2 linked regions of the Oreochromis niloticus genome follow. The protein of the gene in region 1 interacts with the protein of each later gene in a biochemical or structural test. Links are inferred from orthologs where the notes say so. Each region holds a gene or a part of one and is shown on either strand. Other genes may lie near its edges.

Region 1 (6,928 bases):
AGGCTGACAAACAGCCTCCTTATAATAATTAAAAACACAAAAAACAACACTAACTCTAATTAAATTTAAACATTAACTACACAACGCAAAACTAAACTGAAATGAGAAAAAAACCACTCTGTAAACTGAGTGAAAATAAACTAAAACAAAAACTCATTAGAAAAGATCAAAGCTATGGGTAGAAACTCAGATATGAACTAGTAATAATACGACAGCATCTGAATGCGCAGTCTTTTTCTATGATCGAGCACCCACGTCACACTTCCGAAAAAAGTTACATCTAGCAAGTCAGAACGAGTAACACTTATGTATCCTTTCAGCATGGCGTCACAAGACTGAACGCATGCTGACGCGGACACATGCAGACATTTGCAACTGTGCACTTTTATGAATTGCTCAGCTCACTAAAAAACATCACTGTGCTATAGGAAGAGATTCAGTTAAGTTTCTTAACCACTTATTTAGGATCACCCATTAACTACGATGAACCAACAGTGCCATTTACTGCACCGATGATATGGTAATCATGTGTTCTCACTATTGGAAATACTCTGTTTGTTTTATGGGAAAGTCCTGACTGAGAAGAGAATGCAACAGCAGGACTCAGTAGTGATGAATTTACCGGATCATGCAGGTGGACTTTGTACTAGGAAGTTGTCGGTTTAAATACCATTTAATGTCTGATCAGACCATGTTGGACATTTTTTTGTTTGTTTGTTTGCTTTTTGCTTTGCTTTGCTTTGTTGGACATTTTTGATCTCACATGCATTTCAGTTGTGTAATTTTTAGTAAAGTTAGTAAAGTTATGGCTGCAGTGAATGTGTAAAAAACGCTAAAGAGGTTTTAACGCAAGAACTTTAATTTAAAGTCAGAAAAAAATCAGCCCATTGTTCCTTCAGTGGGCTGGTTTCAGTCATTATGCAAATGTACTGTTTATAAGGTTTGGGGAAACCTGCAGTCAGCTGAGACTGAAGAAGTCACTTGGATGAGTGACGAAACGTTTCTCCCACAAAACGCTACGTCCAGATGAACAGATTCAACTTTTGGAGATTTACTTTCCTGGATGATTGAGAATGCATCAAGACAAAAAAAAATCAGTGTGTGTGAGTGTGTCAGAGGAACTCACCTCTTCCTTAGATTTGAACCACTGGTACTGTACTGGAGACTTGCCCACAGCGTGGCAGCTGAGCCGCAGATTGTGGCCACATATAATGGATACGGACTGGGGCTGAATGAGGATCTGGAGGGCTGCACATGTACAGGATATTTACTGTGAATTTACACTGAGTTTAGATGGACTGTATACAGCAGAACTTTGTGGTGCTTCTCTTTAAGGTTTAACTTTAATTGCCAAGCTAGCAATGGTACAGATGAGTGGTAATAGCATAATAAAACATTCCCTCTTGAAACCTACATTATATGAACCCTGATTACTGCTGCACTGACTTAAAACTGCACTGACAATGACCTATAAGTTTCATCCAAACAGCACAATGAGCTGTGAGCTTCAGATGAGAAATAAATAGAATGCAGAAAGTGAAGATCAACCTGCATGATTGACAACATAGCGGCATCAATGTGGTTTTACTCTACCTGGCGGTTTCAGGCACTGCAGAGCCTCTGAGTTGCCTAAAGTTTGAAGGTAGTCCATCAGATGGCCCGTGGTGCAGCCTCGCTCTCCCATCAGCCTCAGCAGCATGAGACTCGGGCTTCCCTCCAGCTCCAGCACCTTCAGAGAGCACATCTCCATGTCATCCGAGCTGGAAAGGATGTAGGTGACTGTCAGCATTTCATATTTTAAATCATATTACAGTAAAACTCATCTTTACCGTTTTCACACACGAAAACTCAGGTCATGAGAAACTGTTAGACAAAGATAAGGGAATAAATTTACACAAGTTTAAAAGAAAAACAAATGAATGCTAATCTTTACACCATCTGCACCGCTTAGTGCACAATCAGTGAAACACTTTATCTAGTGACTTTATTAGTGTCATACTCTATTTACCTGAACTCTTTCTTTTGTGCAATTTTACACTTGTCTAAACTTATTAAGTTTGTACTTATTTGATTGAGCTACATTGTTTTTTAAGTTTTGGCTGCTGTTTTGGTATAAATAATGCATATTTGATCTTATGAGCAGACTGCACTGTACCGGGAATATATGTACTCAAACACACGGTGTAATAGTGATATTAGGCAGGTGTGATATCATATGTTACAGCCGTACAGTAACAGCTAGGATTAAAAAAAAATCAGAGGCAAACATTTGTCATCACCATTATTTGTTAATGAAACTGCATATAAATAATGATTGGACCCTACATTTTTGATTGATAGTTTCATTAACTAGCATTAACCTGGAAGATGCTGTAATGAAAAACAAATAGTTGTCCAATTTAATCTCTCAAAGGGGGTCTCTTGATTTATTAACTTGGAGTTACATATTTATCTATGCCAGAAAATATACAGGTTAATTGTGCATTACTGTATTACATACTCTATACCTTTATTTTTTAATATAAAGACACAACATAAAATTCACAATAACCAATAAACTGAACAGTGTAACTATAATGAAAGTTAATCGCGTTAGTCCCCATTAGCTTTAATAAATAAACCGGTGGTTGAGAGTATGCATGCAATGATTTCTGGTCATTTACTAAATACTAGTACTAATAGCAATTTTTAACCCACCTGACTTTAAACCGTCTATCATTGCCAACAATCTCTCCAAGTTTTCGCCATCCTTTAGTGCTGGATTTGTCCAGCACCTCACACAGCCTCTTCACAACCGGCTCCTTCAACGAGTTGACCTTCGTGGACCGTTCCAAAGAGTCCGACATGACAGTTCCTCAACCAAAGCTCACCATCAACGTGTTTCTATCGCACGCAAAAGCAAAGTTATGGCACGAAAAAAAAATGTCTACTTCCTGAAAGAAATGATAAAAATGACTGACACGCCTACAGCGTCGTCTTGGTTTTTCCCCGTGGTGCAGCTCAGTTGTGGTTTCCTTCTGCCAAAGACCACTTATGCGTAAAGATGAATCTCTGCATGTAGGCTTGTGAGGCGAGAGGCGAAAAGAAACAACCCCAACTCTGGCCTGTTTTCGGAGTTTACCTCCTTTTATTAATTCCACGCAATTAAGATAAACCAAGTAACTTACTCAAAAATCTACCTGTGTGATATCTCATTTTCTATTCGTAATTTTGTTTGGCGTTAATCGAAAGAGGATACCCTACTAGCTAGCTCTGTGCAACTGCCAAAGAGAGTGTAGCTGCTGTCTACTCGCCATTTGACAATGAATGAACGATTAACTGAGCCCGCAATCAACACCATTATTTGGTATTTGTTCAGTGGATTTTAATACGTCAGAGGTTTCTTTAATGTAAACGCTGCTAAAACTAGCTAGTATATACCAAATAACCCGTATTTATTAAGGTTAATCTATATATTCTTTTCTTTTCACATGCAACATCCATCCTTAAACGAGTGCCCAGGCATAGAATCACAAACCAAGTGGCACAGAAAGTTGAGGCGAGGCGACTCATCTCGCTCAATTTGCACTCTTTGGCTGTACTCAGCCGCTCAGGTGGGAGCCGGTGACCTCCTCATAGTGGCGGAGCTAGAAAGTTTTCTATAGGTTATTGGTTGGCCCAGAAAATGAACAGGTTTTTTTAAGGATCAATCCTGTTTTCATTTATGTAGGTATAACTTCCTGGAAAGATACCTTGAGGACTCAAACAGTTTTTACCCAGCACTGACATTGTCAAGTCAAAACTGTTTGCAATATAATGTACACAAAACTTTTATTTCATCTACATGTCACAAAAAAATTGATTCTGTTAATCTAGACGTAATGTTTTCAGTGGGGGAAACATTCACTCATCCAAGTAACCATTTAAGTCTCAGCTGACTGCAGGGTTCCCCCACCTTATAAACTAAACTGACTAACTCTAACCCGCAGTCAGCACTGGGTTTGTGGGTTGACCAAAGGAGTGGCTTGACACCCCTTGTCTCCTTACAGAATCTCAGAGTTTTTCTTCCACATATTCATATGGAGACTGGCTCTCTGTAAATCCTGTTTTGTAATGCTGGCAACTCCACTTTCTAGGTGAAAAGGTTGTCTTAAGTAATGCCATGACTAAGTAGGATAATTTTCCCTGTTTGTAATCAGGGTCACTCTTTTTTTCTGCTTTTACATGCTTTTTTTGTCCTTGCTGCTCTTTCCCTAAGTTTTTCAGAGCAGACCATATATAATGGCTTTGTTTAAAGGCACTTTTTGTAATTGCCCCCTGCAAAATGTAAGAAAACAATTCACCACAAGGTGGCACTGTTTTACCACTAGAAGCGTATCTTTTCAGGCGTGTGCTGCTGTTCAGTCAGCCCAGTCCCATAATAAAACACGAAACCTAACTAAACCAAGCTGTCTAAACTTAAGCATGAAAGGATGTTTTTCATTAATAATATTTTTTAAAGTGATGATGCATGAAAAAATTTGAGATATACAATAGATTCGGTATATAGGAGAATGGATGAATGAAAAGTAGTGTTCAAATATAATACTGGGAAATTCATGTTGAGGAACACACAAAAGAAAAAAGTTAATGTACAGAAACACAAACTAATAAAATGATAGTTGTGACTATATTTCACAAACTGCAATGAGACTGCATGGTGCTGTTAGTGTACTCCTACCGCCAGTCCCAAACCTGGACTTATTTCCTCACATACTTTTGATATTTTTAGTTATTTTTTGATATCTTTAAACTTGTCACAGTCCTGGTTCGGTGACCCAGTGTTTTGTATTATTATAATTCTTTGATTTCATCACGGTTTATCATTACTAGTCTTTTGGTCTATGGTTCTGTATTTCTAGCTCTCTAGTTCTTCTTCGTTTTCTGATTTCTAGTTCTTGGGTTTTGTTCCTGTGCCCCTCACATTTAGTGTAGGTTTAGTTCTGACTTCACGTTTATTTTCTCATTCCCCAGTCAGTCGTGTCTCAAGTCCATGCCTCTGTGCCTGTCGTGTGTTTCCTGTTTTATTTTGATAGTCCCTGTCCTGTGTGCAGTGTGTCTGGTTTAGCTTCCCCTTGTCTCGTTAGGTCTGGATTTGCAAATGCCATCTGGAACCATGATGGTAATAACAACATAAACTCACCTTTATTTAACGTCCCCAAACAAACAGGTTCTTTTTATTGTTTATGGCTATATAAGTAAGTAACGTGTTTCATATAAAATGTGAACATGAATTAAACAGAAACTAAATGTGTGTCACTGTTAACTGAACCACCGGGCCAGATGGGCTAAGCACTGCCTGGATAGACAGGCGTGTGGAAAACTACTGGAGAGCTTCTCTGCTGAACGCAAATTTTTGTTGCTGTGGAAGTTATCCTGCAAACATGTAATGCTTCGCCCAGCCTTCGGGCAAATTACAAGTAGTCACACTTGAAACCTGTAATTTTACCACATTTGTTTTAAACAATCAGCCCTTTTTAATAAAGCATTTTATTCCTATTGAGCAATCATGTGAGAAGATTTCTCCTATCTTAAAATCAGTCTGAGTAATTTCCAGCCACACTTACCAGTTTCAAATAAACACAGCCAAAGAGTTGACTGAGAGAGTCCAAATGTAACAGTAGAGAAAATGCTGAACACTGAATCATTGTGGATATAATTAGGCTTTTTTTGGCCAGCTATTAACTGTGATTCTTAATGACTCATCTAAAATCAAATGCCTAAAACTGTATCACATGACAAATACTACAACCCCACTTCCAAAAGAGTTGGGACGCTGTATTCAGTGTAATTAAAAACAGATTACAATGATTTATTTATTTTATTTGCAGTAGAACAGAAAACATATAAAATGTTTAAGCTGAGAAAATGCACTATTTAAAGCAATATGCTAACTCATTTTGAATTTGATGGCAGCAACATTTCTCCCAAAAAATTGGTGCAGAGCCATGTTTACCACTGCGTAGCATCACCTCGTCTTTTTACAGCAGCCCATAAATGTCTGAGACCAGCTGCTGGACTGTGGGAGAAGAATGTTGTCCCATTCTCGTCTGTTACAAGAGTCTAGCTGCTCTTTCATGATGCACTGAATGTTTTCATTGGTGAAAGGCTTGGACTGCTAGCAGGTCAGTTCAACACCCAGACATAGATGCAGTTCGACAGGCTGAAATACCCACGCCCTTCCCTGAAAAATACATAGTCTGGATGGGAGTATATGATGCTTTGAGCGTTGATGGTGCATTTCTAAATGTTTCCAGTTCCATAGGCACTAATGCACCCTCATGCCATCAGAGATCATCTGGATCATGTTCACCTACAGCTCCTTTCTTACATGACAGAGTTTTAACTGGTATTTGTGGATGTACAGTGAAGTGTGTTCACAGACAGTGATTTGTGGAAGTGATCCTGAACCCATGCCGTGATGACCAAAACTTGCAGACAACCAGTATTGATATTCAGTCTTATTTCTTGCGCAAAGGGATTTCAGAATCCCTTGATGATTATGTACTGTAGATGATGGGATATTCAAAGTCTTTCCAATTTTACGTTGACGAACATTATTCTGAAATTATTCCACAATTTGTGGACAGTTTTTTGTAAAATGGTGTCCCCTCTGCCCATCTTTACTTTGGAAGCTCTGTCTGTGCTTTTTTTTGATGCCCATGCATGTTACTCACCTGTTGCCAATTAACCTAATTAGTTGCAGATGTTCCTCCCACTGTTTTCTTTCTAGAATCAATTACTTTTCTAGTATTTTCCCCCATCTGAACATTTTTTAAATGTGTTAGTGCTATTATGATGCTATTAATGGAAGGAGGCTTAAAGGAGCTTATATTTTCATGAAAAAATTGAGTTTAATTTTTCACTTTAAATGATTTATATTTGAATTGGGATTTGATTGGGATTTTTT
Region 2 (7,310 bases), on another chromosome or scaffold:
AAGCTGCAAAACCTCTTCAAACCCAGCAACATAACCTGTGCAGCTCATTCACTAAGAGAAGGCTAAACTTCCAGCACCCTTCATTATTACCCATCTGTGCGGCCACTACAGTGCCTCATCAGATTACAGCCTTTCTGAGCTTCCCGCTGCCTGTAAACCACGTGCTTTCTGGTAGAAGCCGGACCTGCCAAGTTGCCTAACGGCTGCACTGTGCCACACAGCAAAAAAGCCAACCGTCTGCAGGCTGCACATGAATCATGCAGCACTTCATACCACCAACATTCAATCCTCACAACAGCCTCATTATGAGAGCTGCAGCCACCCCCGAGGAGGAACAGACGCTTCCTCTGAACGTGTTTTATATCAACCGCCTTTCAATAATAGCACAAAGACAATATGGGAAATAAAACTACTGTTGCTAATAATAAACCGAGGGAAGAGCACAACAACCTGCCCATCTGTGTGAGTGCTTTGCACAAACAAATGATAAGAAGAAAACCTAAAAAAAAAAACCATTCAGAGGAGCCACAAGCAGATACATTTTTAACAGTTTCTTCTCATAAATAAAATGTTTTAAGTTTTAGCTGAATCCATTAACTGTTTTAATGTTTATGTTGCCCAGCTAAGATAAGAAAAGGCTAAAAATAAGAATACCATCATTATTGTTATCATTGTTTATTAGTCATAACCTTTCTCCAGACAGCCTAGACTCCAGTTTCCTACCTGTTATACAGTCATATCAGCCAAAGTGATTGAATATTTACAAAATAGGTGCATGTACTGACATTTATTTCTCTGGTTTTTATACAAATTAAGTATCAGGTATATTAATTATGACTTGATCTAGTTAAATAGACCCTGTATTGAAGTAATGAGCACAAATTTTGCCAGGATCTGTAAAAAGTATGCCCCTATTCACCCCAGACTGGCAACTTTCACAGCCCACAGCTGATACAAACACCTCTCTGCTTGGCACCCTTGGGTGTTGCCAGCAGTCTTTCTGGGTAACGTACGAAACTGCAAAAAGAGCAGGAAACCAGAAAAATCAACACCCTGCGTGACACCACCTAAAAAAAACAAAAAAAACCCCAAAAGCAAAACACCCACCTTAGACAAGGTGCCTCTTGCAACCAGCACCGGCTTGGATATCTGCGTTGGTTTGTGGATGGGGTTTGGTGGGGTTTGGTTTGTGGGGCAGGGGAGGCCAGTAGGTGGAGGAGGTGGTCCAGGTAGTCCAGATGGGGTGGGTGCTACCTGCTCACTTTCTGCGATATATTCTTGAATCAGGTCTGTGTGAATGAATACAAACTGATGGTGAATCCAAAGTGAAAGTGCAAATGTTGTAAAAATCTGACACTGGTTTAGGGCAGCAGCTACTCTGTTTCTTTATGTTTTTGGATTAGAAAGCAGAAACACTTCCATTAACATCTTCCAAACCTAGTAGTATATTACTGCAATCTATTTTAAGACGTGGCAACGTGTCACAAGACACAGTGTGTCAGAATCTGAGTGGTTACCACCTCACATGAACCGTTTCCTCTGTTTTGTTTTTGTCACTGGTGCATGAATCTGTGGCACGTTGTTTCAGCACTGCACCAATAAAAAAACAGGCCTCCTGCCCTGTAGTCAGCCTCAGTTTAACCAGTGAAAGTGAATCTAGAGCAGTGGTTACCTGCAGGTAAATATACCTGTCTTTGGGGACCAGTGGTTGTGGTCTGTCATGTCTGACACTTTGTCAGAAAGCATGAAGCATTAAACAAAGCTAGCATCTGCAGCACAGTTTTCAATGTTAAATAAGAGAAATCAGCTGTTGTGACTTTTTTCATGTTTAATTTAATGTCCCAAATGTTGAGTTCTCCCTTTCTGACATCGGAAATAAGACAACCTAAGATTAAACAAGCAGGAACTCTGATGATGGTTTACGCCTCCTGCCAGAGGTCATCTCAGGTCACCGTAATTCCTCCCTGCTTCCGGCACATGCACGCAGAGCCAAAACAAAACAAAATAAAACAAAACAAAAAAGACCCACCACTCACCGAAATCTAGAGAGTCGAGGCTCGAACAATTGTCGTCCTGCGGGTCAATCCCGGGAAGGGGTGTTGTCTCCTCTGCTGTGAAAAATCACATGCCTCAGGATGATGTCAGCGCTTTTACGCACAAACACACGCAAAGATTCAACAGGTTTACAAAAGACAACCACCCACCAGAGGTACCGTTGACCATGTCCATGTCTATCATGGCATGCGTCCAGTCTTTAAGACCACCTTTAGGACCTTAAACTCCACCGTCGTGTCCTTGAATCCTTCCTTGAGTCGTCTCCAAACCGGATGACTCTGGGTCTTTTTCCGTCTCGGCCCAAACCTTCGTCCTGAACTCTGAAACAGCTCCTTAAACCACCTGTTAGACTGCACAGCGGCTCACAGCTTCTGTCTGATCCCGGGGAAAGTGTCAAACCGTCTCGAAGCCATGTGTCGAAATATCTTACACGAAGTCATCTCCGCTTTTGTGTTTCGGACAAGCTTCGCGCTGATTGGCTGCTGGACCGCGTGGAAATCCCCCTCTGCGCGTAACGTCACCTCACAGACGGGAAAACCCCCCCCGCGACAGCGCGAACCGAGCTTTTAATCAAACCCTTGCCGCTTTATTGATTTGCATAATGCATCATAATGAGGCCAGAATAGGTCCTTTACCCTTAAAAGCCGATTTCCCCGCTTATTATGTATGTAAACTGATCGCACGTATCGGCGGCTCGTCTTGTTTTCATATCGGCTTCAGTGCATATGCAAATCAGTTTTTAACTATTCAAATGAGCCTCTATCCCAGAGCTCATGCACCTATTTTTAGCACAAAGAAGTCAAAAAGCCAGCTCTTTCTCAGCCACACGCCCTCTGAGGCATTTCTCCTGGTTACATCATGTCTTTATCACGCTTCTCCCGGTTCCTCCAATCAGGGAGAAGTGGGAATTTCATAAGTGCAAAGTAAAAGTTACAATTTCAAAAAGACAAAAACAAAAAACCCCTCCCATTAGAAACGGCGCCTCTTCTCGTCTCAACTTAAAAACTCTTGACAAACTGCTGAAAAATTACGAAGCGCAGCAGCGACACCTGCTGGTCGCCCAGAAGACAGACGATTTAAAGGAAATGGAAATCGAAAGCGGGGCCTTTTAGGGGAAGCAGTGACTCAGCAGGGAGCAGATTAAAAAACAAAAATTAAGCAAGCCAGCTGCAACCTAGCTGCAGGCATGACCGACACGCTTCAGCCTGAGCTCTGCAACCAGAGGATGATCTGCGAGTCCTCAGTCCTCCTTTTGAAGGCAACAGAAGAATATCCACAAAATTTAATAAATATATATATATACATATATATATATATATATATATATATATATATATATATATATTTATTTTAAAAAGCTAAAACTTTATGGGCACACAGCATTTACTGGAGGCCACATGTCTTTACTTGAGTCAAAAGTAGACCATCAGTGTTTCATGACACCAAGCATCACCTACACCTGTCACTGGTGTGTTCCTAACAGTGTTTCCACTTGCCTCAAATGTCAGTGCAATGGGGAAACAGCGCCCTCCCTCCTGGTGCACAATGACTGTAAAAAGTATATGTAATAAGTATGTAAGTATGTAATCACTGCCAGTTTGTTAAAGCTACATGAGAGGAAATAAATATACAATGGCCTGTCTATTTCCTGGAAGGTGGACTGTGCGGAAAACCGCGGGAGACTGGTTTCTCTTAGTCCCGCCATTTTCTGTTTTCTTTCGGACATTGAGGTGGGATTGTGTACTTTCTCTTTGTGTAGAGGCTACGCCTATGCTTGAAGCCTCAGAGGTGTTTGTTAACGGGGGTGACGTGATGTCACTGGTATGCATGAATTAATTAAACAGTCCAATAACTCCAGCAGTACTTATCTTGTCCTTTTGGTCTTTATTCCAATATCATTTTAACATAACAGCGCAGCGGTCACAAACTGTTGACATAAACCTACCATACAGAAACTAAAAAAGGTGACCTCTAGCGGCAACATAAGGTATTAACCCAAAAATGGCTCCTACACTTTGGGAAGGAGAAAAAGAAGGGGGGGGGGGGATAAACACGTTTTATCTTCAACAAAAGAGCTGTTTACTACTCTGCAGTGATTCAATGTAGTGGTCCTTTGCTATGCATTTTTATTAAGGTCTATTTAGCTGTGCTCTTGTATTTTTTGGGAGGTAGTGTGTGTTTGAGGTTTTGCTGTATATTCCATTTGAGATGTTTTCTTTCACATTTTGAACTCAGAGTCAACTATTTTCTTTCCCCCTTTAAATGTACTGTTTTCGATAATCAAAACAACAACAAAAATCTGCTAAAGCATGACAGATTTTCCCACTTTTGGTAGGGGGGAGAGGGACAGTTTCTTTTAGTTTTGCTTGTGCTATGGACTGGGAAACACTGTTGTTGGGTCTTTGCTCTCAGAGCCCTCAGTACTGAATGTGGTTGCAAAATCTGATGTCAAAGAACCTGTGTGTTTTAGAGGGGATGGCTGTGACACATGCAGTGTTTGGGAATGGGGAAAATGATGATGGCCTTTTTAAAAAGAAAAGGGATACCAGTAGCAGAACAAGCTGATGAAGTGCCAAGTAAACTTGCAGGGAGGGTATGAGAGATAATCAGGGTGGGCATACGTAGTAAGCCATCTGTATGTCATGAGGGGGGCCCAGAGCCCATTTTTGAGATCTAAAAGCAGCACTTCATTAACACTGCCGGTTCAAGCATGCCTTTAGCAGATTTTTATGCAACATTATCCAACTTAGGTGAAAAGCCTGTTGATTACTGGCTCAGGTTGAACAGCGCTATGGAGGTGACAGAAGACTGCCTTAAAAGACAAATTAAGTCCTTTGCATATCTGACAAAAGAGCTGACTGCTATGTTTAACCGTCACTCCCCGGACTCAGAACTGTCTCCTATTTTCAAGTGCAAGTCCTTGCAGCGGTGGACAGTTGCTGATGTGTACGAGAAGTTGCTGGAGCATGGCAAAGATCAGAAGTGTGCCTCTCAGCTTAGTGCAGCCACTGCCTTTTAGTTTTTAGCGACAGTAGGTGAGTCCCAATATGACCCATATTTCAGAACACACACAGACTAAAACAGAATGATGAACTGCTCAATGAAAACGTCACCCTAGGTGGCGAACTGTCAGCTAAAGCGATGCTTGACGGTGGCTCCATGGCCTGCATCCTCAGCATCAATGTAATGCCCCAATTTTTACGTCCTGTAGCGTTGGAGACCTCGACCTTCCAACCCACTGATGTCGTCCTGATTGGTTGTGGTGGTTCAAGGACAGTTCCAACAGGTGTGTGGGACATTACCATTGAGGTGTATGGGTGTAAAGTTGTTCTGCCAATGATGGTGGTTGCAGGGCAGAGTGAGGACCTTATTCTGGGCAGCAACCTTATAATGCATCTGGTTAATCACCAGAGGGAAGAGGGAGATTTAGGAGAGGACCACAGTAAGACCCTGAATGCTGAAGAACTGACTAATAAAAATCTGATAAACACAGCTGTTGCATAGGCTGAGGTGGGAGCTGTCCTCCAGGGCCATAGTAAACACAAGTCAAGAGTGTGGCCACATGCTCTTCTCCTGCCTCTCTCAAACTGTGCTTACACCGAACTGGTCTGACTCTGAATCCTTTTTACAAGATGACCTAGTGAGACACATGATGATGTGCTGTGCAGAGTGATCCTCTATGTGGAAAGGGGGCAGAGACCATCAAGGAGAGAGTGGGCCAAAGAAGCGACCGATACAAGGAGACTCCTAAAGGCTTGGGACAAGTTGACCGTAAGAAATAGTTTACTGTATCGAGTCTCTAAGACCTACCTGTATGTTGTTCCGCCAACCGTGCATCCTGCTGTACTGAAAGGTGCCCATGATGAAGCAGGTCACCAGGGCCAACAAGGAACGGCGCTAAAGTATTTTGGGAGGATTCAGCAAACAAATCAGTGGATGTGTTTGTGGTCATAAACCACTTTCCAAAGATGGCTCAGGCCTTTCTAATCAGCCCTAATCAGTCTGCTAAGGCAGTAGCGCACAAACTCTGGCATAACTACTTCTGCATCTACGGCTTTCCAAAACACTGACCGGGGAGCTAATGACCCCTGCTGACTGCAAGTTTCCCCAACCTTATAAACAGTACATTTGCACAATAACTGAAACTAGCCCACTGAATGAACAGTGAGTTGTGAGGTCAGGTCCTTGATCATTAATATGCATCCAGTGGTGCACAAACTGGGTGTCATCAGGACGCCACAACATAGAACGAACACCATCCCCATAGACACAGCAGCCAGGGAAGCAGAAGAACATCACATCAAGAAGGCCCTGAGTAAATGTGGTTATCCTAGCTGGACATTTGTCAAAGCTGGGAAGTCACCTAAAGAAAGCTCCAGTTCATCCAGGAGAGAAGGACAACTGCTGCCTAAGCGAAAACCTGTAGTGATCCCGTATGTGTCAGGAGTATCGGAACAGTTGAGACGCATTTTTCTAAACACAGCGTCTCTGTGGCTTTCAAACCCCAAAACATGCTGTGCCAAAAATTGTTCCACCCCAAGGATCGGGTCCCCCGACACAAGTAATATAGTGTACGCTGTTAAGTGCCAGGAGGATTGCCAGGATTTATACATCGGTGAAACCAAACAACCTCTGGTGAAACGGATGGCACAACACAGAAGAGCCACCTCGTCAGGCCAGGACTCTGCAGTCTATTTACACCTACAGGCCAGGGACACTCTTTCAATGATGAGGATGTACACATCCTGGACAGGGAGGAACGCTGGTTTGAGCGTGGAGTCAAGGAGGCCATTTACGTGAAAAGGGAAAAAACATCTATGAATCATCTTACAATGGAGCCATTCCCCAACTCTCTGTGAATGGTACTCATGGCCATTGATCAGTGGTCTTTGATCAGTGTTTGTTGAGCAATGAACATCACAATTTGCATACTAATGATCAAAAAACTGACATCCCAGCCCATTGTTCATTCAGTCGGCTGGTTTCAGTTATTATGCAAATGTACTATTTATAAGATTGGGGAAACCTGCAGTCAGCTGAGACTGAAGAAGCCACTTTGATGAGTGACGCAACTTTTCTCCCACTGAAAACGTCCAGATGAAAAGAATCAAACTTCTGCGATTTGCTTACCTGGATGACTGAGCATGCATCAAGACAAACCAGAGACTCCTTGTCTTCTTTAAAAATACAACAAAACGCAGAGTCAAGGAGTTAATTTTGGCCGGCCTGTTATAGAGGGGGAAGCAGAAACTGGT

The links.
Region 2: of the proteins of malt1 (region 1) and relb, one has a biochemical effect on the other in vitro, tested with the Homo sapiens proteins (2 studies listed by BioGRID). The link is inferred for Oreochromis niloticus from reciprocal best matches to the Homo sapiens genes MALT1 and RELB.

Annotation. Positions count from the first base shown.
Region 1 is NC_031977.2:28,480,775-28,487,702, reverse strand, and holds the start of malt1 (mucosa-associated lymphoid tissue lymphoma translocation protein 1), read right to left. Parts: upstream 3,028-6,928; 5' UTR 2,847-3,027; coding exon 2,698-2,846; intron 1,761-2,697; coding exon 1,594-1,760; intron 1,249-1,593; coding exon 1,127-1,248; intron 1-1,126. UniProt on the Homo sapiens protein: Protease that enhances BCL10-induced activation: acts via formation of CBM complexes that channel adaptive and innate immune signaling downstream of CARD domain-containing proteins (CARD9, CARD11 and CARD14) to activate NF-kappa-B and MAP kinase p38 pathways which stimulate expression of genes encoding pro-inflammatory cytokines and chemokines.
Region 2 is NC_031979.2:23,753,235-23,760,544, reverse strand, and holds the start of relb (transcription factor RelB), read right to left. Parts: upstream 3,014-7,310; 5' UTR 2,239-3,013; coding exon 2,205-2,238; intron 2,112-2,204; coding exon 2,037-2,111; intron 1,290-2,036; coding exon 1,108-1,289; intron 1-1,107.